Linked DNA regions of Rhinolophus ferrumequinum. The protein of the gene in region 1 interacts with the protein of each later gene in a pairwise test. Links are inferred from orthologs where the notes say so. Each region holds a gene or a part of one and is shown on either strand. Other genes may lie near its edges.

Region 1 (7,762 bases):
CCAGGAGCCCTTCTTCAGCCACTGGAGTTAGGAGCTTCTAACCAGCAGAGCCTGGCTGGGCATGGGCTGTGGATGGGAGAAGGGACCCACCCTGGCGTGAGGGAGCCCTCCTCCACCTGGAAGGGGGAGACAACCCCTGCCCTGAAGGAGCTCCCAGCTGACTGTGAACCATGGGTTCTCACATCAGGGAGCTCCCATCCAAGGGGAGAGGGTGACTCCTGTCCTGTGGGTACCTTAGTCAGAAGTGGGAGACATCTTATTTTTAGGGTGATCCCAGTCTGATGAGACATAGGTCTTAGCATTAGGAAGTCCCATCCATGGGGGGAGGCACGGCCCCTTTCCTTGGGAAGCCTCAGGCTGAGGTGCAGAAAAGACCCACTCCTATGGGAGATGTTGACACACCAAGAACTTCTCAAACTGAATAGAGTTGGGGCCTGTAGTCTCGGGTTGAGGCAGAGCAAGGATGGAGGAGACAGGGAGGCGGGAAAGCAGGCTGGGAAACAGCCTCAGCTCTGAGTCTCCTCTGGGGCAGGTGGAGATAGTTTGTATGTGTCCCCTGACGGCTAAGCCAGCAGTGGTCTAGGCCAAACGGTGCTGACTCCCACACTCTCCTCACTGGGTGCTACCCCCGGCCTCCTATCCACACTGCCAGTAACTGCCCGTTGTGTGTGTGTGGGTCGGAGTAGGGGGCTGCCCACACACTGTCCTCTGTCCCTCCCTCATCCCCAGTGGAGTCAATAGGACATGGCAGCCCTTCTGGTGGACCCAGCTCCCACCCCTCTGAGCTCACCCCATCACAAATGTGCTAACATGTAGATATGTGAAGCACCTGGTAGGTGTTATGAAATAGTAGCTATGATTTGTCGAGCGCCTGCTATGTCTGGCTCTCACCGATTTTATCCTCATAACTGCCAAGGAAGTAAGTATAGGGAGTCCGCATTTTACAGATGTGAATATGGAGGCTCAGAAGGTTCTGGAAGTCAGCCAATACCATACAGCTATTGAGTGGCCATGGCTTTGCTCTCTGACCTAGAGGGCATTGCCATAGCAGTCAGAGGCAACTCTAGAGAATAAGGGGGTGATGCTTCTTCTATGTGATACAAATTTGGGTTTTGGAAAGCCTGCCCACTACGGCTGAGACCGCTTTGTCCCTGCCTCTGAAAGGCTGCGGCCTCACAGCCACTAGGACCTGGGCAGCTGAGCACTGCCATCTAGTGGCCGTGAGCGCCAGGTTCCCTTTCTTAGGGCTGGGCCATAAGATGGACAGACTCAGCAGTCTGCAAGGGGTCAGCCAGAAAGACCCATATTCTTTTCATCCCACCCACGTTTGCTGCCCACCATGCTGTGCCAGGCACCGGGAGAGGGGCAGGGGCTTGAGTGGAGCCAGTGGGCAGCAGTCCAATGGCAAAACAGCCACTTGAATTAGAGGCTGGCAAATTTGGAAAATGCTGGGCACCTCGTGTGTGCGTTGAGGCCAGGTGTGGTATTGGTCTGGAGGCCTTTGGGCTCTGTGGGTAAGAGGGCATCCTGGCAGGTTTTGATATAGGGAAGGGGCACAGCGAGTAGGAGGTCACCTCGTTCTCATCTCAGCTTGAAGCAGGGCACGGCTTGGCTGAAGGCCCTGTGCGGGGCGCCCAGGCATCCTCTCCCCCTGGCCTTTAGCTTTCTGTCTAATCCAGAAGGTGGTCTAGGGATTGGCCTGAGGCTCCAGATGTTGAGGCCCTCGGGTTGGGGAAGCAAGAGAGGAAGCACCATTTGATGGGGCAGGTGTGCATGATAGTGTGATCTGAGAGAGAGAGAGAGAGAGAGAGAGAGAGAGAACATAACTATAATTTGGTTAAATGAATGCATGTTGTGAAAAACCATGCAGCTGTTAAAATGATGATGTAGATAAATATTTATTGATATGGAAAAATGTTCACAACATATTGTTGACTGAAAAAAAGCAAATTACAAAGTAATTTGTACAGCATGAGCCCACTTGTAAAAAACTGAATTTATATGTGTGGGGAAAAAATCTGGTAGTGTTTATCTCCAGGTGGCAAAATTATGGTTAATTCCCTTTTTTGTGTGTGTGTCTGTGTGTATCTGTAATTTCTAATTTTTCTACAATGAATGTGTAATAAAAAAGTAATGAAAGTGGGGCACACAATCACAACCAAGTCTTTCTCCCTAGTTGGCTCTCTGTTACCTATCTTGAGATAGGTAAAGGCTGAGTTCCGGGATGGGTCTGAGGGTTGGATGGGGCTTAAAGATGGAGCAAGAAGCCTGGGCCTATGACAGGGGCCCAGGGAGGTGGCTGAAGGGGGTGAAAGTGGGGCCTCCATTTGCTGCTGCTGAAACACACCTGTATCTCACGCATCATTCAGCATCACTGACAGGCACCTCTTACTCTTGTTCTATCTTTTCTCTCCAGGGCTGCGTGGCACTCATTTCAACTAGATTTCATTTACAAGAAGAGGAGGTTATACACTGTGACTTGCACGGCAAGCTGGAAGGCCAGCCACTCCTGGCCACAGAGAACAGGATAAGGGTTTGTCCCCAGTCTTGCTCTTCCTTTAAGAAGCCCTGTCCTTCCCCAGCTCCCAAACCCACAGCTGGATCAAAAGTCACTAGGCGCCCTCTCCTCAAGATTCTCCTTCCCATGTCACTGCTCTGGCCCTGGCTAGAGACATAGGGACTCTTACCTCTTCTCTCTGCACTAAGAGTCACAGGGGAAACCTCAGCAGGCAGCTCATATCATGCCCAAATGAAAAGCATCTCTCCCAGCGTGGGGTAAGGGTATGGCCTGGGCTGGGGCTCAGGGGCTTGGGCTGGGTCTGAGAGCTGGGGAGAGGGTGAGCAGTCAGGCCTTGTCTGCGGAGCTGGAGACCTGGCAATGCTGGGCTGGCCACCCCCCAGGGCCTTCCCCAAGTGCCCACTGAATGACTCACCTTGGCACAGATACAATGGCCAGGGGTGGGCACAGAGCCTGCTCCCAGCTGCGCCCCAGCCCCCCTCAGATGTTTTCCGAGAAGCTCTTTGAACAGGGGGCTTGGGCTGTACCCCGCCTAACAGCCTGGCATCTTGGGGTAAAAACAGCACATCCCCCTGGGGGCCGCCTTTGCTGTGTGGCGCCCTCACTGGCGGTGGAGAACAAGGCTCCATTCAGCAAGTGTCCGGGAAAAAGCATCAGAGGCCCAGGCATGGGCAGTGCACAGAGTGAGGGCAGGGAGAAGAAGGCTGCCCGCTTCTCAGAGGTCCAAGGACACAGATGGGTGGGGGTCCTGGGCAGAGTGACCAAGGGCAGGGAGAAGAAGGCTGCCCGCTTCTCAGAGGTCCAAGGACACAGATAGGTGGGGGTCCTGGGCAGGGTGACTGAGGGCAGGGAGAAGAAGGCTGCCCGCTTCTCAGAGGTCCAAGGACACAGATGGGTGGGGGTCCGTGCAGGGTGCCAACCCTGCAAGATGACAGTAGAAGGGGTAGAGAGATTTGAAGACCCAAGGGGCAACAGGGTCCAGGTTCCAGGTTCTCAGTTTAGACCCGGTGGCTCCTGGGTTCCCAAACCCACCATCCCAGAGGCCTTTCCCATGTTCTCAGCCTGATATGTGGGAACTCGAAGGAGATAAATCTCCAGTGAGAGTGAGGTGAGGGGTGGCCAGGGAAACAGGGTATTGCAGGAACAAAGATGGGAATAGGGACAGCCAGCTCATTCATAACTGCTTTGTGGAGTTGTCAAGGCGCGGGCTCGGGGGATGGGGTGCAGGGACACTGGGCGAGGGAGGGTGAGACCGAGGCGGGGGCTTAAGAGTGGCCCAGGGTGAGAGCCAGAGAGTGCAGTGCCTGCTCCCTCTTGCCCTCTCAGGACCCCCAAGTTCCTTCCATCATCCCCCCTCTGTTAGACAGAGGCCTCAATTGACCCCGCAAAGGGCTGGTGTCCAATTCTAGTCAAGAGTCTCAGAACTCCAGGGAATGGGGAGAAAGCAAGAACGTGGGCTGCCTGTGTTCAGAGGGGAGGTCTCCAGCAATCTGTTGGAAACGGGGCTCAGCAGGAATCTGTAACATACACGGTTCCTTGAGTGTATGGAACAGGTTTGTATTTGTCAAATTGCCAGCACCTAGCAGGCACTAGAAGGAGGAGTGCTGAGTGAGGGAAGGCCTGGGTTATAGGATGTAAGAGTTGGAAGGTCAGAGGTCAACTGGTCCAGCCCTTTCTTGACCCACCTTCCTAGAGAGAGGGTCTCTTGCCCAGTGACCAGGCCCCAGGCCCCACATCTGGCCCCAGGCACTGCCCATCCGTACCTCTGTCTGTGCCCAGGAGGCCCTGCCTCTGGTGGGGTGAGGAGCTCTCCCCATGGCTGGGATGCAGCCCAGCCCCACCCCCTCAGGCTATGCCAGAGGGTGCTGCCAGGGGCAGTCTGAGCAGTGCCAGGCCAGCCCACTCCTCCATAAAGCTCTCACATCCCAGGAGCCAGCAGAGCCAGACCAGGATGGAGAGGAGACGGGCCACCTCAGCTGTGGCTGCGCGCCGCTCCTATGTCTCCTCCTCCGAGATGGTGGTGAGAGGCCTGACTCCCAGTGGCCGCCACCTGGGTCCTGGAACCCGCCTCTCCCTGGCTCGGATGCCACCCCCACTCCCAGCCCGGGTGGACTTCTCCCTGGCTGGGGCACTCAACGCTGGCTTCAAGGAGACGCGGGCCAGTGAGCGGGCCGAGATGATGGAGCTCAATGACCGCTTTGCCAGCTACATCGAGAAGGTGCGCTTCCTGGAGCAGCAGAACAAGGCGCTGGCTGCTGAGCTGAACCAGCTGCGTGCCAAGGAGCCCACCAAGCTGGCTGACATCTACCAGGCTGAGCTTCGCGAGTTGCGCCTGCGCCTTGATCAACTCACCGCCAGCAACGCCCGGCTGGAGGCAGAGAGAGACAATCTGGCACAGGACCTGGGCACCCTGAGGCAGAAGTGAGGAGAGGGCCAGGGGAGAGGGGCCTCGTGAGCAGGGAGGACTGAGCCCCTAAGAGGAAGTGCCTGCAGGCCTGCTGGGTCTGGGGAGGGAGGGGCCTCTGTCGCCCTGTTCCCTGGTTTCTGCTCCTCTGGGAGGGACTGGAAGAAGGCCCAGAGCCTCAGGGATCTTATTCCCAAAGACCGTCAGCACCTCCACACCGGGGAGCCCTGTGCAGTAGTCAGGGACCCCAGCAGGCAGGGCCTGTGCCTTTCATTCACTGTGGGGCATTGTGACCGTGGGCGGGGAACTCACCGATTCTGAGCCTGCGTCTGTCTAAAGGAGGAATTGGAAGGGAAGGTTGGTTTGCACGAGGAGGACGGAGCTCTGGGGTAGAGGGAATGCGGGAAAGAGCAGGCAGGCCTGGCTTCAGAACACAGGTGACTGCCTGTCACCAGTTCGTGATCAGAGTCAAGGCACTCAGCATGCACAGCCGTGAAGCGGAGATCTTAATAAAATCCATTTCCAAAGGCCAGAGGAAACCCCAGGGGCTTGGTGCTCTGCTGAGCTGGCCCAGCATGCATTTGTGCCCTGGAGTGCAGGAGGACGTGTGTGTTTGTGCGTGCAGCAGTGAGTGCACGTTGGTGGAAGCGCCTGTGTGAGCAGCAGCAGGTGCAGCAACCCTGATAAGGCCCCTTAGTAATGAGTTGAAACAAAGGCGCTTCTCTGCTCACTCTTCTGGCCAAGGTTCTGTGTAAGACCCCTCTGCCCCTCACTCCTCCTGCCACTCCACTTGTCATGGGGGTCTGTCTGGCAGCCACCTCCAGGGGCCGGGGTCCAAGAGTCCTCAGAAGAGCCTTGACCCAGGAATGTGTCCCCCTACCCCAGGTTCCAGGATGAAACCAACCTGAGGCTGGAGGCTGAGAACAACCTAGCTGCCTATCGACAGGTCAGGAGGGTGGAGGGGTGGGGCACAGGAGGGGGGAAAGTGTTGATGGCAGCCCACCCAAACACAGCCCCAAGCCCAACCCTCCCGAGCAATGTGCTGCTTTTCTAGCTCCAGAAGGGGAGATCAGACAAAGCTAGCGAATGAGGAAGAGTCTGGAGTCACAGCAGCCCTTTGTCTCCTCCCTATTCCAGGAAGCAGATGAAGCCACCCTGGCCCGCCTGGACCTGGAGAGAAAGATTGAGTCTCTGGAGGAGGAAATCCAGTTCTTGAGGAAGATTCATGAGGAGGTAATGCTGGAGCAGAGGGACGAAAGGACAACACAGAGATGAAACAGAGAGAGAGAGACTCAGAGACAGAGAGAAAGAAACAGAGACTGACAGAGAGAAAGAGAGAGATTTAATACAGGAAGAGAAACAGATGCACAGAGAGACTGAGGGAGACAGAGACAGACATGAGAACATCAACAGCCCCTGGTAAAATGCACACAGACACACACTCCACTTACTGAGAATTACAAGGGCCTGTTGCCTCATTTTTTCTTCACTACAGCTTTGTGAGATAGGAACCCTTCCAGTATTACCTTTTTCACAGAGAAGGACACTGAAGCTCAGAGGTTAAAAAACTGGCTAAGGTCACACAGGCAGTCTCTCTGACTCCACTCCCTCTGCCATCTCTCTCCATTTAAGTGAGAACCATTCATAATAAAAAAAGATCCCTCTGAGCTCTGACCTCAGATCATAGATTCAGCATCCATGACCCTATGGACCCTGGGAACCCCTAGGCACACCTACTCCCCACAGGGACTCAGTCACTCTCCCATGAGGACCCAGGCACACTTTCAGTGCTCCTGCCTGTCCAGGCCTGGGAGGAGGACAGTGAGGCCCCCAAACTAGCCCATGCCTCCCCTAACCTGGACTAGTCTCCCCATGTACTGGGACTGTCCCATTCCCCTTAGCCAACGTCTGAGTCCGAGGGGCTGGCAGAAGAGGATCTGATGCTGTGGGGAACCCCGGTTGCAGCCTGTTCCCCTGAGCCCCGCTATCCCTTCTCTTACCCGGGCCAGGAGGTGCGGGAGCTCCAGGAGCAGCTGGCTCGGCAACAGGTCCATGTGGAGCTGGATGTGGCCAAGCCGGACCTCACAGCAGCCCTGAGAGAGATCCGTACACAGTATGAGGCCGTGGCATCCAGCAACATGCACGAGGCGGAGGAGTGGTACCGGTCCAAGGTAACCCTGACTGGGCCAGCCAGCCTCCTCCAGGCAGCCCTCCTGGCTCCATGCAAGAGAATTGGGGAAGGAGGGTAGAGGAAGCTGGGAGAGGATCCTCTCTGGTGACTGACCTTCACCAGAGAAGTGAGGTGACTTGCCCAGGGTCACATACGTACCATTAAGTACTTATTATTATTTTTCATCATAATAAATAGGAGTAATATTTGTTACTATAACTAGTTGCTACTAAACACTGTTGTATGCCAGGCCCTCTGCTTTGAATGGATTATCTTACTATGAAGTAGGGACTGTTCTTTGACAGATGAGAGAACTGAAGCCCAGAAAGGTTAACTAATTTCCCCAAAGTCACACAGCTTCTAAGGGTTAAAACTAGATTTCCAACCCCTGCCATTTCACTTGGGAGCCTGCGTTCTTGATGCCTCCGCCATCTGTGTCCTGGGTTGTTGATCATCTCCTGCATGCCAGACACTGCCCAGGCTACAGAGGTATGTGTGAGCAGGGAAATGTGCTGGGCACCACACATGGTGTCTGTAGAGAACACTGCAGGGCAGAGTCTATATGCAATGTGGGGATCAGGGAAGGTACCATAGAAGGAAGGGCATTTGGCCTAAGCAGGGCTGGCAGGTTATGGACATGAAGAGAAAAGGAAAGGGGCATTCTGAGCGC
Region 2 (8,268 bases), on another chromosome or scaffold:
TTGTATTTTACCCAAAGCATTTTCATACCCATTGCTCTACAAACCACCTCTTTGCCATGCAGCTGCCAAATAGCCAGCGTCTCCCAATGCACATCGGTCAGGAAATAACTTAGGCATGTCCCCAAAGTCTACAGGCCACATACCTGAGTGTACTTGCGGAAAAACACCCCTTGCACCTTCCCAAAAATTTCATAATCCACCGATATTAGGGTGTCCCCTTCTGCCATACTCATGCTCAAACCTGTCAGAAACCAGAAAAGCAGAAAAGTAAACAGAACTCATTATCCTACGTCAGCAACCCCAATTCTGAGGCAGAAAGGGCCACATCCACACTTCTTAACCACTGCGACCTCTCCCTGACTTAAGCTCCCCGAACTCCAGAGTACGCTAGTGGACACGCGTAAGCGACGGTGTGTGAAGAAGACACCTGGGCAAGTGAGCTTCGGGTCGCGACTGCCCACAGAGGCCTCTTTTGAGACAATTACCTGTTTAGCCAAATACCTCCCCACACCAGTCCTGCTCCCTCTCCATCCCTTCCTCTTCCCACGGACCTGGCTTTCACGCGGCCGCCAGAATCTCCTTCTAGCAACACTTTAGGGCCAATTGAACTGATGGGCACGCCCCGGGTCCCGTCCTACGCTCACCCTCTAAGTCCGGCACAACACCCCGACCACCACCGCAACGGTTCTCCTAGTCGCGTAACCGCCGCGCCCGGAAGCTCAGGGCGCGGGTTCCTCCTTCGCTGTTTCGCATGCCCATCATGTCTGCTGACCAATCAGGGACGGCAGGCTCTGCCCAGAGCCCGCCCAGAGGGTGGGATTTCGAGGCCGGTTGTCTGGGACCTCTCGGGAGCCTAGGGCTGGGGATCTGTCCAGGAACTCTCAACTCGGATTCTACGGACCGAGCCCTCACCCTTCTCAGTCACCAAGAGCACCTCTTTTCTCATTTTTCTCATGGGGAGAAAGATATAGACGATGAAGCACTTGAGATAAATCCAATCATTCAATAAATATTTACTGAGAGCCTTCTGTGTGTTAGGCGCAGTTCTAGGTAGACATACATCAGTGAACAAAAGGATTCTGGCCCAGAGGAGCTTAATTTCTGGAGATGGGAGACGGGCAATAAACATTAAACATTATAAACAAACAAATTGAATAGAATACATGCAACCTTTCTGCACTGACTTTTTCTTTCAGTTCTCAAATTTTAAGTCATGCCTAAGTCTGGAATTAGGAGTAGCGAGGATAAGTGTGTAAGAGGTCCTAGGGGTGGTTATTTCTCTTTCTGTGCTTCTGGAAGCTGCTCATTCCAAATAACGCTTATCTAAATCAATCCCAAGCACAAGCAAAATAACCCATGGCTCCAGAACCACAATTGAATCAATCAATGTAAGCCAAATGACCAAATTGCATAAATTTCTTCTGGGCAAAGGGAATTGTCAAGGGGTGTTGTGCGTGATGATTGTTTAAAGTAGGGTCACCTTGTAGGCATTTGAATACAGCTATCCTTGTGATTAAGAATGTGTATGCAGGAAAACTGTGTTTACTGTTCCCTTTGGATTGCTTGTATACATTACATCCCTTCATAACATAAGACTCCATATGTGAATATGCCACATTGGCAGACTTGGCAAGGTGAGACGGATTTGCAATGGAATCATTCCATTAGTTCCCCACTACAAAGTGAGGCTCTGGATCCTGGAAAATATAACCTTAGTGCTAGCACAGGGGTGGGGGGCAGGGTGGGAAGCTGGATTGGATGTTATGCTTGGCAATATTTGAAAATAATGCTAAACAAAGTAATTGGCTGGTGTTCTTTCTCCAAAATTCATTTTAAAAAAACTAGTTTCTCAATAGAATTAAAGACCTATTGAGTGTCTACTATTTATGGGACACTGTAGGGTATATAAAGATTATTTGAATGATATATAATCTTTGTCCTCAAAGAGTTTTTTATTTAGTGTAAGAAACAAACATGCATGCAAATAAAGACAATACAATGTACAACATGCTAATTCAGTTCCATGAACACCAATCAAGAGCTCCTCATAAGCCAGGCCTGTGGTGTAACCAGAACAGAAAACATCATGAGAGCATAAAGGAACAAAGAGATTAATTTTGACTGGGAAGATGGGGAAGACATTCTTGGAGGAAATATTATCCAAGGTTACACAACCACAACCAGTAAGTGATGGAGCTGGGATTTAATTGCAGGCAGTCTGAGTACAGAGCCCCCTCCCATAAATTCTATGTCTACCACCTCCCAGTATGTGGAGCTTGGGGTAAGGTAGTACTGCTGAGGTAAGAAAGTGCAATTAGTCAGGGGTGGCTAGATCAGGGGTTTTCAACCCTGGCTGCACATTAGGATCTGGAGGGAAGCTTTTAAAAATGCTGATACCCATCCCAAAAATAGGTATTGCACAAATGATCATCACAGCATTGCTCACAATGGTAAAAAAAAAAAATGCTGATATACAGATGATACCCCCAGAAATTGCCTTCCAGGTAGTGCTAAAGCACGGACAGCATGCACAACACGCGCAGCCAAGGTTGAGATTCACTGGGCTAGACTCTGGGGGGGGCAGGGCTGGAAAGGTAGGTTGGACCTAATCCGGTAGGTGGAAATACCATGTCAGATTACATGTTTCAACTTTATTCTATAGGTAAAGTAGAAGCCACTGGGTAGGACAATAATATTACTATGTAGGTAATTATTCTGGCAGCAGCATGAAGGATGGGCTTGGGATGCAGATGTTGAAGGGAAGAATAGCAGTTAGGTGAGTGATGCATGCCGTCCCAATGAGAAGTGAGCAAGAACTCACTTAGGGTCGTAGAAATGTAAAGGAGGGGTCATATATAAGAGACACTGCAGAATAAATTCAACAGAGCCTGCTGACCAGTTAGAGGGGAGTGTGACAAAGAGGGAGATGTAGAAGGTGACTGATGCTTTTAGTTTGAGAGGGAACACTGAAGAAGAAGTGGATTGGGGGAGTGGGGAGGTGATCATGAGTCTGTTTTCTGTTACATTGAGTCTGAGGTTCCTGAGGAACGAAATCGACAGTTGGAGATCTGAGTCTGTAACCAAGGAGAGAGAGCTAAGCCAGATGCCATTTAAACATAGAAGACACCTGAAATTTCAGTATTTGGTTGAAACCATATGCAGTCTGGAACTGCATGTATATGAGAAATAAGAGGGCTCTGGAGAACACCTAAATTTGGGGGACAGGTGAGGAAAAGACATAGCCCTGTAGAAGACGGAGCAAGAACACAAAAAAAGAAGCCAAGAAGGCACAGGATCAAGTGAGAACAGAGTTCCAAGGAAGTAAAAAGTCAGTAATGTTAAATGAATAGGCTGAAGAAGTAGCAGCTTTTGTCTTTGGTCATTGGAAAGTCACTGGTAGCCTGGCAGTTAAACAAAGTGGAAAGGGTAGAAGCCACACCACAATGGACTGAACAATGAAGAGGAGACGAGGAAGGGGCGCCAGCAAATGTAAAATTTCTACTAAGAAGTCTTGAGGAGCAGAGGAGAAATAAATGGGGTCCTAGGGGAAGGGGCCACAGGTCACGGGAAATGAGGTTCGTTTTGCAGGAGAAGTTAAGCATATTTTAAAACCAAAGTATATGGATTGATACAACTTGACGTTAACAAGATGGAGGGGTAAAGTCATGGAGTCCATTCCTAGAGGATGCTGAAAGGGACTCATTCAATAGAACACATGGAAAGAGAAAGATTCTTTTTCCTCAAAAAACAAGAAGGAAGTCAAGATGGAAGTCAGCACTCCAGGAAATTCGGCCAGACTAGAGGGGAGCTGTGGAAGTTGACAGGCAGGCGGGTTGCTGAGATAACTGGACTCTTGAGAAGAGTGGGAAATGTCTGGAACTCCATATAGGAGTCCTATAAAGAAGGCAAATAGGGAGTCAACCAGGAAAGAAAACAAGGGGGGAAAAGAAAAGCCCTGGAGGGCCCAACAAGGAATTACTTTGTAATATGTAAAAGCTGTAATGATATGTTGAAGTATTAACAGTGACTACTACTGTCTATATTATCGTCCATGTGCATGAATCTTTTACGTAGTTATAAGGAAAAAGTCAGTTGCCTGTTCCAAACAGCTTACACAAATGAACTGAAGCATGAAGGCAAATAAACTCTTCTGATGTTAACAGGTCACAGAGTATCACTTACTGTTGAAGCCAGGCTATACTGCTTATTTTCGATCTAGTAGTTAACTTTATTATCATTACATGTGGTTGAGTCATTCTTGGGCTCTATGAAGAGACGGCCAGAGTTACCACGTGAGAGTAAGACACCGTATCAAAATAATTACACTGGCTACAAAACTATCCCAGAAAGATACTGCGTAGCAAAACCTAGCCAAGTTGCTATAATTTCACCGCCAGCTCCAAACTATTGGTGAGGGAAAGCACGGAGAGACAGTGTAGCCATACCTGGGGCGCGCACGAAGCAGCCGAGCGTGCTAAGCAAGACTATCAGCAGGCTCACTACCGCTACGGGGGCGGACATCGGAATCCTGCGGCTGAACGACTCCAGGGCACATCTAGGGGCGCCGTCTTTTGCCCGAGAAGGGCACACCACGGGGTCTGGGGTCATCGCTCTCAGAAAAATACTAGTTCTTTGATGGAGCCCCAGAAAAACCTCTCCCGTCCCCTCCCTTGTTCCCCAAGGGCTGGGCTGGACGAAGCTGTAGAGTTGGCCGGACACCGGGTCAAGTGACACCCCGGCGCACCTCACCTCCCTCCGGGGCGGCTCCCTACCGCTCGCGGGACTGCGCCTGTGCGTGCTTTCCCCGCGGCGACAGAGGCGAGAGGCGGGGCTGGGAGCGCACGCGACCCCGTTCCTAGGCAACGGGAATAACAGGGGCCAGCTGAGAGCGCCTGCGCGGCGGTCGGTTGGTAGGGTTCTGGTCCGGAAAACTAAGTCTTGGGGTTGCCCCTGAGCAGGAGTTGTCCTGGAGAGCCTCAGGTAGGCGAGAGGACGGGGAGACGTGGGGTCAGCACCTCGACCTCCCAAAGGCCCGATAGACAGAAAAGCGAGGGCTTGTCCCCAAAGCAGAGTCCCCAGTGGGGCGCCCCGCCTGATCCTCCAGAACGGAACGTGACTTCCGCGTTCCGGATCTAAAACCCACGGCGGCCAAGTCAGGGGGCCCCCGCTTCTCAGTTACAAACCCCTGGCCTTCTGAGCCGCGGGGACTCGTTGGGTGAGGGTTTGATAGCCAGGCCCCTGCTGCAGGCCCTGGGCAGCGTCTGTGCTCCTTGGAGTCAAGCATGGTTCCAGCAGGAGGGAAGCCCTGGCACTTACCTCTAGGCCGCAGTTTTCTCACCTGTAAAAGGATGGGGCTGGACTTGGAATCCTGAGGTCCCTAAATTCCAGTCATGTAACTCTGAGGGAACCACTCAGTTTCTTTTCTTCGGATTTCCTCCTCTAAACTTTCTCCAGCAGCTTCTAGTCTTTGGATCTGTGTCCATTCAGTCCCATGGCGGTTTGGCATGGCCCTCTTCTCCTGCGTGGCAGCAACAGTACCACGCAGGAGTACTGAAGAAACTGGAGCCAGAAGGGGAAGTTGCTCGTCTTGTGTCACAGGCCTACAACCTGACTTCAAATCCAATAGCTCTTTCCACCGAGTATGGCCTATACTCTGTGTGGCAGGCGCAGCACTGTATGGCAGAGGCTGGTACTGGTATAAAGGAAAGCTAGGTGGCAGGAACACCTATATCACATTCATTTTTCTATCCTCAGGACCTAACATGCACTCCCAGGACATAATCAGCACTCACCAAATGCTTATTGAATGAGAGCTCTGGCAGACCCAGTACCACTGTCCCTAGAAAGTTTAAAGGAAAATGTGGGTAGGACAAATGTATGATAGAAACAGTTGAGTTAAGCAACCAGGGTGAACCTCAGACAAACTTCTCACATATATCTGGTTTAATCTCTCCTAGGCTTCAGTCCAGGCCCTGAATGGCTGGTCTCCAGTTGGCTCCACCTCTGCCTGTGGGCGTTATGCTCCCATATAATAAGGCAGATGCCCCAGGGAACCATTCCGCTAAGCAAGACCACTATGAAAAAGATGGCTCTTCCCAGCGCTCCTCGATGGGGCACCTGAGGAACAATTCCCAGCAGAAGCTTTTGAGCAACAATGAGCTGGCGCTGGATAATCTGTACACTCACTCCAAATGGAACGCCTGCACCAAAGCCCAGAGCTACTACCATCCCCACTGTGCTGGAATCAGCCAGCAGGATCCCAGAAACAATCTCTGGGGCCAAGCAAAGGGTTTGTTTCACTCATCAAGCTCTCAATCCCAGTACCCCAAAGCACATAACCAGGAATTCATCCCCTTTACAAAGAAACGAATTGGAGTGGACCGGGCATACCCACTGAAACCCGTATTCCATCGGAAGTCTTGTAGTACACGTGAGACTGGCACTGATGGGGACCAGAATGTCTCTCCCAGACCCCCTGAGCCAAGAGAGTTTTCATACAGCAGCTTGGGTTCAAGGAACTGGGTGAGTTCATCTGTGGTTGGTACTGTTGCTGCCACGCAGGAGAAGAGGGCCATGCCAAACCGCCATGGGACTGAATGGACACAGATCCAAAGACTAGAAGCTGCTGGAGAAAGTTTAGAGGAGGAAATCCGAAGAAAAGAGAGCCTCCTAAGGGAAAAGCTGAAGAAGACAGAGGAGGAACTCAGAAGGATCCATAAAGAAAAGGAACAGGCTGAGGAAAAGGCAAAAAGAGAGCCACAGAGAATGACATTTCCCAGGAGGAGAAGTAAAGGTAATAGCAACACTGTGTACAAACCTATCTTCTCCCCAGAAAACAGGTCTAAGGAGGTCTTCGGTCGAGACAGGCAAGAGGATGAAACTTGGGGACGGTCTCAAGAAAATTCTAGTCCATTCCATTTTTCTGATTATGGAATACAGAAGCTCAGAAGGGAAAGACTAATGGCAAGCAATAACAAAATCCGAGCCTACGTCTCGGGGCCGTTGAAGCAGAACTTTTCTCAGCCCTCAGAAGCGCCGGGCAGTGCTTTGCCAGGATCCACACGCCATTCTAGCTTGTCTAAGGCACCAGACTCTTCAGGTTCCAGCTGTTCCACTCAAGAGCCAGAACTTGGCAAGTGCAGCCACTGTGGACGCAAGTTTCTCTTGCTCAGGCTGGAGAGACACTCCAACGTCTGCAGCAGGATACATGGTTCCAAGAGGAAAGTGTTTGACTCCTCTAGGGCCCGGGCCAAGGGCACAGAACTAGAGCAGTACTTGAACTGGAAGGGACCAGCCTCAGTCAAGGTAACAGGGCCTTATGGATTTGACTTTGAGTGGGGATCATTGTAAGGACCTGTTATATACCAGGGGTACCAAAAAAGATGTATATACACGACTTGTATTCATCTTTTGTTATCGGTATCTATTGAGTATTATGATTTTAATACAGTTTTCTCCTTTCTAAAAAAATGTGTATACATTTTTTGGGCACCCTCTGTATATCATCAGATTTTTGTAAAGAAAAAATGTGTCATGTAGGGAGAAAGTGGGAATTAACATTTATTGATTACTACTGTGTGCCAGTCACTGTGACCGGAGCTTTTCATGTGACCCTCGCCATAACCAAGTGAGGATTTCATTATCTCTTATCAATTAAAAAAATCTAGTCTCAGAGAGGTTAACTTGGTTGAGATCACAAACAGCTTTAAATAACAGAGTCAGCATCTAAATCTGAGTCAGAATGACTCCAAAATCTAGACTTAAAAAATATATATCCATTTGATTCTAAAAGTAATACACATTTACTATAGAAAATTTAAAGACATGAAAAATATATTAAAAAAAAAAAAGCTATTCAGCACTTCACCATCTTGAGTGAATTCCGTGCTCTTTGTTCTCTGCCACCTCCCAAGATTAGGATTTATTACCACTCCTATAACCATATCTACTTTTCCAAAGTTAGCTCAATTTTGATATACCTTCTAAATAAATACATGAAACACAATTAAGTTTGGAATTCTTCCCCCAATTTGGAGTGTAAACACCTTAAAGGTAAAGGATTTTATTTTTGATTAACATTCCTAGCTGCAGAAAAACTAGCTTGTGAAAAGTAAGGACTTCGAAATACTTTCATGATAAGCTTAGGGGAACTTCATCGGCACACTTGGACCATCAGATCTGGAGAAGATTGTCTAATGAATACGTCCACCATCCTATCAAGGTTATGCCTCTTGGTTTGTAAATGAGTGTTTCTCAAAGTGACAAACA
Region 3 (8,238 bases), on another chromosome or scaffold:
TGGCCTCGGACCACAAACTCATCTGTCCACGCCCTTACCAACCCGGAGGGAACTCCAACCAGGTCTGGTGTACAGGTGTCCTTATAGCGCTACGCGCCACGGAGCATGCTCTGTGCCTACTAGAATCTGAGAGGCACCCAATCCCCACTGGCCACTTCAGTATTTCCTTTGGGCTGAAGCAGGAAGCGGGAGAAAAGCAAAAATTGGGTGCCCAATTCTCTATCCAGGCCCTGGCGCAGCCAAAGGCACCTCCCATTGCGCATCCCATCGTCAGACTGTCCTGGAACCGCACACCGCACACGGACGAACCGCGCGCGCGCGCGGGATCCCAGCAAAGAACTGCACTGCCCTGGGAGCCGGGTTGGTGGTTGAACGCGCGCGACCAGACCTGCGGAACCGGACCTGGCGGCAGGAAAAGATGTTTTTGTTCCGCGAGTCTTTGAGCTTGGGTTTCGGTTTTTACAGAAAAGAGAAAACATGCCACTCGAGTGTTATTTGACCAGGGCGCCCTCCGCAGTTGCGCGGGTTTGGGGACGTGGGAGCCGCTGTGCGCCTGGCCCGGCAGCCTCCAGACCAGAGCTTCCGGCTGTCTCTCGGTGCTGGGCAGAGCCGGCCTCAGATCCCAGCTTGGGCGTAGAGTCTGGGAGTCACCCACACGCCCACTTGGGTGGGGGCCTAAAACGCTCAGCCCCAGAGGAGGGGTCCTGGCAGCGATCTCCAGGAATGGGAGCTCGGCAGTCACCTGGGCGAGTTCAGGACTTGTCCTGGAGATTAAATAAGATCATGTATAAAGTTTAGCACAGTTCTCATCTCTGTTCTTAAGAAATGGGACTGTTGTTTCAGGAAGCAAAGTCTCCGCTTAGTGGCTCTGGAGAGTCCTGGCAATGACATCCTGGTGCGGGCATTGCCAGCTCTGCAGAAGCCAGACTGGGGGAATGTGCCAGCAGACGCCTCCCACCCTGTCCATGTTGTAAAACTGGACTGACAGCTGGAAAGACCCACTGTCCCCCGCCACTCCCACTTCCGGGACCATTCCTCTGTCTTTTTCCTGTCCTCCTTGCTTCCATTTCTCCAGCAGTCTCCTACATTCTCCCCTTCCCCCACTCTACCCCTCTATCCAGATATTTGATGGAGGCTGTTTAGGTCAACAAACTTTTATGGAATGCATTATAATAATAACAAGGCAACTAAAGTTCAGAGAGGTTGTTTAAGGCCTCCACAGAAGTCAAGGGTCTGAGGGAACTGGGGAGTATGGATAAATAAGTAATGGTGTTTAAAATTAGACAGGGTTGCTGGTGTTTGGGGGGGTCAGAGCTGTCAATGCGTCTGGGTGTTTTCTGAGTACATGCTGTGCGCCCAGCTCAGAGCTAGCTGTTGGAGATTAAAAACATAGAAGATGAGGTTTCCTACCCCCAGAATGACTGACATGTAGTCTCCGATACAGGGCACTGAGACCATTTTATTGATTTTTTTACATCATCATTAGAGGAAATTATTTTTTAAAAATTCCCCAATTCCATCTCCCAATAGAAAGTTAGTTTCTGTACTTTTTCCTAGTTTTTAGCAATAGGAAGACAGTTTTTTATTTTTTTAACATAAAACTGACAATAATATTTGCTTTAATAATTTTGTTCTGCTTATTTTTACACTTTCTGAAAACACTTTTCCCTGTCTCCTCAGAGCCGTCGTGGCCGTCATTTTCATGCTGCATAGTATTCCCTCATATGGCCATACCATATTTAGCTACTTTTCTGTTACTGGTTTATTCCAGTTTTTTGTTATAAAAAATGAGGCTATAAATATCTTTGTACATATAGCTTTTTTCTTCTTTTAAATTATGTTCTTGGTATCCGTGCCCAGAAAGGGGATGACTGGGTCACAGGGTTGACTGTTTTAAAGCTCTTGCTATGTAGATCCAGACTACATCTGAGAACATTTAACAACTAAATGAAGCAGCTGAGGACTCACCGCCCTCACAAATGTACTACTGCTCTAATCTATAAAGAATATTGTGTAGAACAAGAACTCTTGGCACCTACGATGTATCAGGTGTGTGCTAGCAGGACACACGGGGATGAATGAGAGGCAGCCCCCCCCCCGTGGGGGCCACAGGATAAGGCTTTTCAACCCTTTTCTCCTTCTAGGTCACAAAATATTCAAAACTGCTACACATCTAAGGCCAGACTCAGAATTTGGCGATTCCACAAAATTCTGCAGGGGCTTGAAACACTAACATGTTGTCTGATCAGCAGAATCTTAATCAAAGTGGGTGGATTTGGGGGTTCAATGAAGCAAGTGGCGGGTTCCTGGCTTTAACTCCATTCCTTTTTCTCAGATTCAAGAAAGAACATCAGGATGCAAGGGGACGGGAGGGATGCATAGATAACCCAAATCCACTCTGATTTCTAAATACAAGCAAACCATTCCTAAACATAGGCATTTGTGCTGAGATGCAATCAGACAAGTGAGATGATCCTTTGGTGTGTAAATCTGTGCACAGGGCTCCTGGGTAGGTAGGCCTGCATCACAAGGAGACAACCCTGCTTTTAACAGACATTAAACTCGGTTCCTGGGCCCAATTCCAATGTGGGGAGTATCCCCCCACCCCAACAAACAATTCTCAGACACCATCAGGGTGTCTGGGAATTCAGCTCAATTCTAACACTATCTGTCTACCCGGAGAAAGCATCAGATTCCACAGGCTAAGGGTTCAGTCCTACAAGATTGCTTCCCCCATCACACACACACACTTCGAACTCATACTTGTGCTTCTGACCAACTGGCTACAGACTAGAGGTTTCAACGACCCCCTCCAACTCATGCCGATCACAAGTCCAGGTTGTTACCTGTACTTTAGACCAATTGGCTATAAATCAGAGGCCCCCCCCCCCTTTGGATTAATTTGCTAGAATGGCTCACAGAACGAAGAGAAACATGTTACTAGATCACTGGTTTTTTTGGACAAGGATATGACTCAGGAACAGCCAGGTGGAAGAGATGCACAGGGTAAGGGTTGTGAGAAGGGGCTCCGTGCCCTCTCCCTGCCCACCACTCTCCCAGCATCTCTATGTGTTCACCAACCCGGAAGCTCTCAGAAGCAAATTCATGGAACTCAAAGAGGAGGGTGGAACCTGTGAGTTAGAGTCAGTCTGTTTTTATGGAGGGTTCATTACATAGGCATGACTGATTAAATCACTGGCCATTGGCGACTGATTCAATCTCCAGCTCCACTCCCTTTCCAACAGGTGGGGGTGGGGGTTGGGACTGAAAATTCTCAACCTCTAATGACCTCGTTGGTTCCCCTAGCAACCAGCCCCCCTCCTTAGATGCTTTTTAAAGGTCATTTCATTCACATAACAAAAGACACCTTTATCATTCTCAACACTTGGGAAATTCCAAGGTTTTGGGGAGCTGTGAGCCAGGAATTGTGGATGAAGACCAAGTATATATGAGAAATACATTTTTGGTCATCTGAGTGACCAAATACATGTTTTTTATAAATCACAATCTCATATACATTAAGCATGTGTTCTGTGTCAAGCACTGCATTGGGGTCTGGTGCCAGGATGAATGAGTGCCAAGAAAACTATGAAGAACCTGGGTCCCAGAAGAAGGTAAGTGGTCAAAAGAATGGACAATGCATTGCATTCATTGAATACTATGTGCCAGGTACTATTCTAGGCACTGGGATACAGCAGTGATTAAAACTGATAAAAACTCTACCTCCATGGAATTAATGCTTCGAGGTGGGACAAATAATATGTAAAATATTGAGTATGTCAGATAGCAAGAAATACAGTGGAGAAAAGGATCTCGACAGGAGATCTTAAGTAGGGAGCTCAGAGAGGATGACATCAGAACAAAGAGGGCCAAGGGATGTCTAGGAGAAGAGTATTCCAGACAGAGGCCCTGAGGCAGAAGCAAGGAGGCCAGGGTGCGGTGGTGGTGGTGGTGGTGGTGGTGGTGGTGGGGGGGGGGGGGGGGCATCTGGAAGAGATGAGGTCAGAGGAGTTGGCGTCATTGTGGGTGGTCTTATAAGCATTTTAAGGATTTTGGCTTTACTCAGAGTTAGGAGGGGACCTAGTGGACAGCGTGAGATACGGTCTGGTCTGGCGCGGAGAAAGCACTCAAGGGACGAGGGTGGCAGGGAGGCCAGATGGGAGGCTAGGGGCAGGCTGGCAACCCAGGTCTTCTTACTCAACCCAGTGCCCGGGGCCCGCCCCTGACTTGATGATTGAACCCTTGGGAAGGTCAGAACCTACAGGGAAATCCGGCCTGGAGGAAAAGTTTTTCTAGGAAGGTTTTGAAGTCCAATTATAACAACGTGCGATGGTCTCATTAGCATTAGAAAGTTCCTGTCTGGGCTTCCTTAGCAACCGGAGCCCCGGACTGGCAGCTGTGTGGCCTCGGATAAGTCTTCTAACCACAGGCCGACACAGTTACAACGGCTGTAAAATGGAGCTAAAAGCTCTTGACTGCTTCATAGCCTCAAATGAGATCATTCGAAAGCACCTTTAACACATCATTCTTTTACAAAAAGCAAATGTGAAGATGGAGCTGCTCTCAGAGGGTTGAGTTTGCACAGCACTTCTAAACTCGTTTTAAAAAGCGCATAGATCAGGTCTGTCGGAACATGCTTGCCTCTCACCTAGTGCCCTGGGCGGTGCTGGGGTCCGGGGCGGAGCTGCTGGGAACTGGGCCCCCTAACTAGACTCACCGCGCTCTCGGACCGACTTCCAGCTGCGGCCCTCGGCGGGCCACGGGGCGGAGAACCGTTGCGGGCCGTAGGCGGGAGGACGGGCGGGGCTGGCGGCCTGATCCCGGCCTGGGCGGAGCCGCCCCCGCCCCTGCTACCGCCCGCCCCCGGCTCCCCTGGCCAGCGGCGCACGCTCTTTCTCCTATAGCTTCCCCGGGAGCCCAGCGCGTCGCGCCGCGTCCAGTCGCGTCTGTCCCCGCGGGTCAACGCTCGCTGTCGCCTCGCCATGACCACCCAGCAAATAGTGCTCCAGGGCCCGGGACCCTGGGGCTTCCGCCTCGTGGGGGGCAAGGACTTCGAGCAGCCTCTCGCCATTTCCCGGGTAAGAACAACCTGGGACGCGAGGGGAGCAGGGTGCTCCCAGCCTGGGGAGCGACGTGGCCCGCAGGGGACCTGGGAAGGCTGGGGCCCGGCGAGCGCTGTCGGAGACGGCGGTTTCGGGAGCTGGGGACGGAGCTGGGACCTCGGGCGCATCCAGGTGCGCCGGGAGCGCTTGCGTGGAGCGCTTTCCGCGCGTCTCGGGCTCGTCGCCCCCGGCAGCCCCTTCCCTGCCGCTGCGCTCCGGGGCGAGCCGGGCGGCGGCCGGGCGCGCACTCGCCAAATCCGCGAAATAGAAGGGAGCAGTTGGAGTTCCTTCGCCCCGGAAGCGCGGCCGGGCGTGTGGACGCGCTTTGTGAAGCGGCGAGGGTTTGGGGGTCCCCGCGGATTTCGCACGCTGGGGAATAGTAGTAGCACTTCTCGGTTCTTCACAAGTCGCAGAGTGGCGGAAAGTCGTTTGGAAGCACCCTGGACGACCTGGAAAGGGAGGTGGAGTGTGGGGGGCGAGTGGGATTAACTTTAAACACACAACCGAAACAACTCGTTTCCCACTCTTTGGATCTCAGCCACGGCCTCGTCTCATCTCCCTAATTCCTTTTTGGAGAAAAGGTGAAAGTTTGGAAACCATAAAGCCCGGACAGATCCTCTTGGACATACCCTTCCCCCTGCAGGAGGTGGCCATGGCCATGGACATATTTCTTCTCAGCATTCCCGGATTATCAACGGATCAGCCCTTTCCCCACAGGGATACTTAAGTCAAAGGAGTAACTGAAAACTTCTTAGAAGGGCCTCATCTCTGGGAGGGCACAGGTTCAATCGGAGACCACAAGAAATCTCAGAGACCCAGACTCAGTGTTTGGAGGCCCAGGCTTTGGTCATCTGGTCTGGGCTAAAGGCAAGCTTGGTGTCCCACTCTCCGAGAGTGGCCACATTCAGTGCCTGCACCTAGGAGGGGACCAATAAATATTTTTTGACTGAATGATATTTCAGTAAAGGGAGCAAAAAAAAAAAAGCACCCCCTGTTGTCCACACCTTGCCTAAAGGGCTCACATTCCATTCTTGGGCCCATCTATTTACTGACGGTGACCCTATACTGGCCTCCCCAGCCATCTGAATCTCTCTCTTTTTGCTTGGAGGGGGTTATGAGGGTGGGGAGGGAAGGGGAAGATCCCTACGGCTGCTTTTGACTTAGTCCCCACTTCCAGCAGCTGAAGGAGTATGTGGGAAGTGCAGGAGGAAAGGAATTAGGCGCCTACTCTTGGCTTCTCTGCTGCCCACAGTCTTACCCACATTTCTTTCCAGGTGGGCCTAGTGGATTTAGGGAGTCTTCTCTGACCATCCCACACTCTGCGCCCCACAAAAGGCGATGCCGTATTCAGTTCTTAGGCCCTGTCTCCCCCCTGTCTTCCATATGCCATCCCAAGGTGACCTCTTTGATTATTCTCGCAGGCACAGGCTGTCTTCCCAGCCACTGAATTCCTCAAGCGCAGAAACTGTGCCTTCCCCTAATCCGAACCCCCAACCCCAAGCCTGACACAGAGCTGAATCTGGCCATGCCCAGTAAATCTTTGCAGGCTTATTAATAAATGCTTGTCCAGGGAAGGCACATTTAGACTCGCTTACCTCATAGTCCATTTGTCCCTGCTCTTTGTGTCTATAATTAACCTGTCAGCCCTCTCCACTTCTGAAATTATTATATATGCCATGAAACCTTTTTTTAAGAAGTAGAAGATATATTGGCAATTTGTTAAAAGGGCAGTTGCCACCTGGCATTTTAACTACTTTAAAAACTCTCAATGCAAGTGGCACTGTGTGGGAATGAAGCTATGTGGTGGAAAACATTGTAAATTCATTAGTTTGTACCTCCGTATATTAATTATTTATTAGCACATGTTTAATGAGCATATACCATATTCCAGAAACTGTGTAAAGCCCTGGGGTCTCAGAAATGAGAGGGCACGACTCCATTCTCAGGTGTGCAGCGTCTAGTTAGGGAAGCTAATCTTGATGATGCCCTTGGCAGGTGCTTTAATTGAAAAGTGAAAGTGGCTCAGGAGGTGACAGTCTCATGGTGACAGTAGTTTCCTTGTTTCTTACTCTCATTATTTCCACATGGAAAAATGTGGGCTTACTCCTGGTAATGGGAAAGTCATTGTCCTGAGGAGGTCCTGAGGGGACCATCTGAGATCTGGTGCTGGTTTGGTGTCTGCTCCTTACTTGAGCTGTCCTGGGATGAGCCTTCTGTTGTCTGAAGCTGCCTTCTTTACCTCTGCTGTGAGTTAAGGAATCTAGAAACGGTGACTAATCGTGAGGAGGTGTAAGCACTTTGAGAATTACACCTTCTGGTTGGCAGGTGTGCTACGTTTATCATCCTAGGCAGATAGTTTGCTAGAATGGTTTTGTATATATGTAGACTTTGAGCCTCCACACCAAAGCAAACCATAAAATTAGGCTGGTAGAGGAGTGCCTTTTGTTTAAATAACTATATTTGCTTTCACCTACATGAATTATTCTGGTATTGGCCCTAGTTTTTTGTTAAACTGCTAACGCCTCTGAATATGATTCTGTAATCTGTGTACTTGAAATTGTTTTTTTTTTTTAACTTATTTTTTATTGTGAAATAACAAAGTCATAAAATATAAATGCATAGCAAGCGATTGTAAAGTACATGTTTAATTACCAACCAAGGCAAGAAATAAAACATTGCCGGCACTCCAGAAGCTCACTACACATAACCCTGTCCTGACTTATGTAATCACCTCCTATGGAAAAACCTTGTTTTTCTTTATAGTTTTACCATCTAAATATGCATCCTGAAAACTAGAGCTTAATTTTCCCTGTTTCTGAGCAGAATCATACAGAACACATTGTGTGTGTGTGTGTGTGTGTGTCTGTGTAGCTTACTTTCACTCTTCAACATTTTCACCTATTGTGATAAACTTAAAATTTCAATCTAGGTTTTCAAACTTTAAATGGACATAAACTACTAGCTTTCTTCCTTTCCCAGTGTTTTATTTAAGTCCTCTACCTTGGACTCCCTGTTGATCCAGACGCACATTTGCCTCTATCCCCTGAGATTATTTTCTGTCCGTTCCTGCTCCACATCTATGGTTGTCTATCTCCGAGATTTTTTTTTTCTATGTCAATTTCATATTTCCTCTAGT

Evidence for each region.
Region 2: the proteins of GFAP (region 1) and ZC2HC1C interact in binary tests that used the Homo sapiens proteins (3 or more experiments, as listed by UniProt). The link is inferred for Rhinolophus ferrumequinum from reciprocal best matches to the Homo sapiens genes GFAP and ZC2HC1C.
Region 3: the proteins of GFAP (region 1) and PDLIM1 interact in binary tests that used the Homo sapiens proteins (3 or more experiments, as listed by UniProt). The link is inferred for Rhinolophus ferrumequinum from reciprocal best matches to the Homo sapiens genes GFAP and PDLIM1.

What each region holds. Positions count from the first base shown.
Region 1 is NC_046304.1:39,784,536-39,792,297, reverse strand, and holds the start of GFAP (glial fibrillary acidic protein), read left to right. Parts: upstream 1-4,437; 5' UTR 4,438-4,469; coding exon 4,470-4,939; intron 4,940-5,807; coding exon 5,808-5,868; intron 5,869-6,059; coding exon 6,060-6,155; intron 6,156-6,931; coding exon 6,932-7,093; intron 7,094-7,762.
Region 2 is NC_046289.1:23,538,094-23,546,361, reverse strand, and holds the start of ZC2HC1C (zinc finger C2HC domain-containing protein 1C), read left to right. Parts: upstream 1-4,866; 5' UTR 4,867-4,980; intron 4,981-5,957; 5' UTR 5,958-5,976; coding exon 5,977-7,305; intron 7,306-8,268. Other genes in the region: DNA mismatch repair protein Mlh3, read right to left, coding at 144-241, 4,446-4,608.
Region 3 is NC_046299.1:28,006,692-28,014,929, forward strand, and holds the start of PDLIM1 (PDZ and LIM domain protein 1), read left to right. Parts: upstream 1-4,836; 5' UTR 4,837-4,982; coding exon 4,983-5,078; intron 5,079-8,238. UniProt on the Homo sapiens protein: Cytoskeletal protein that may act as an adapter that brings other proteins (like kinases) to the cytoskeleton. Involved in assembly, disassembly and directioning of stress fibers in fibroblasts.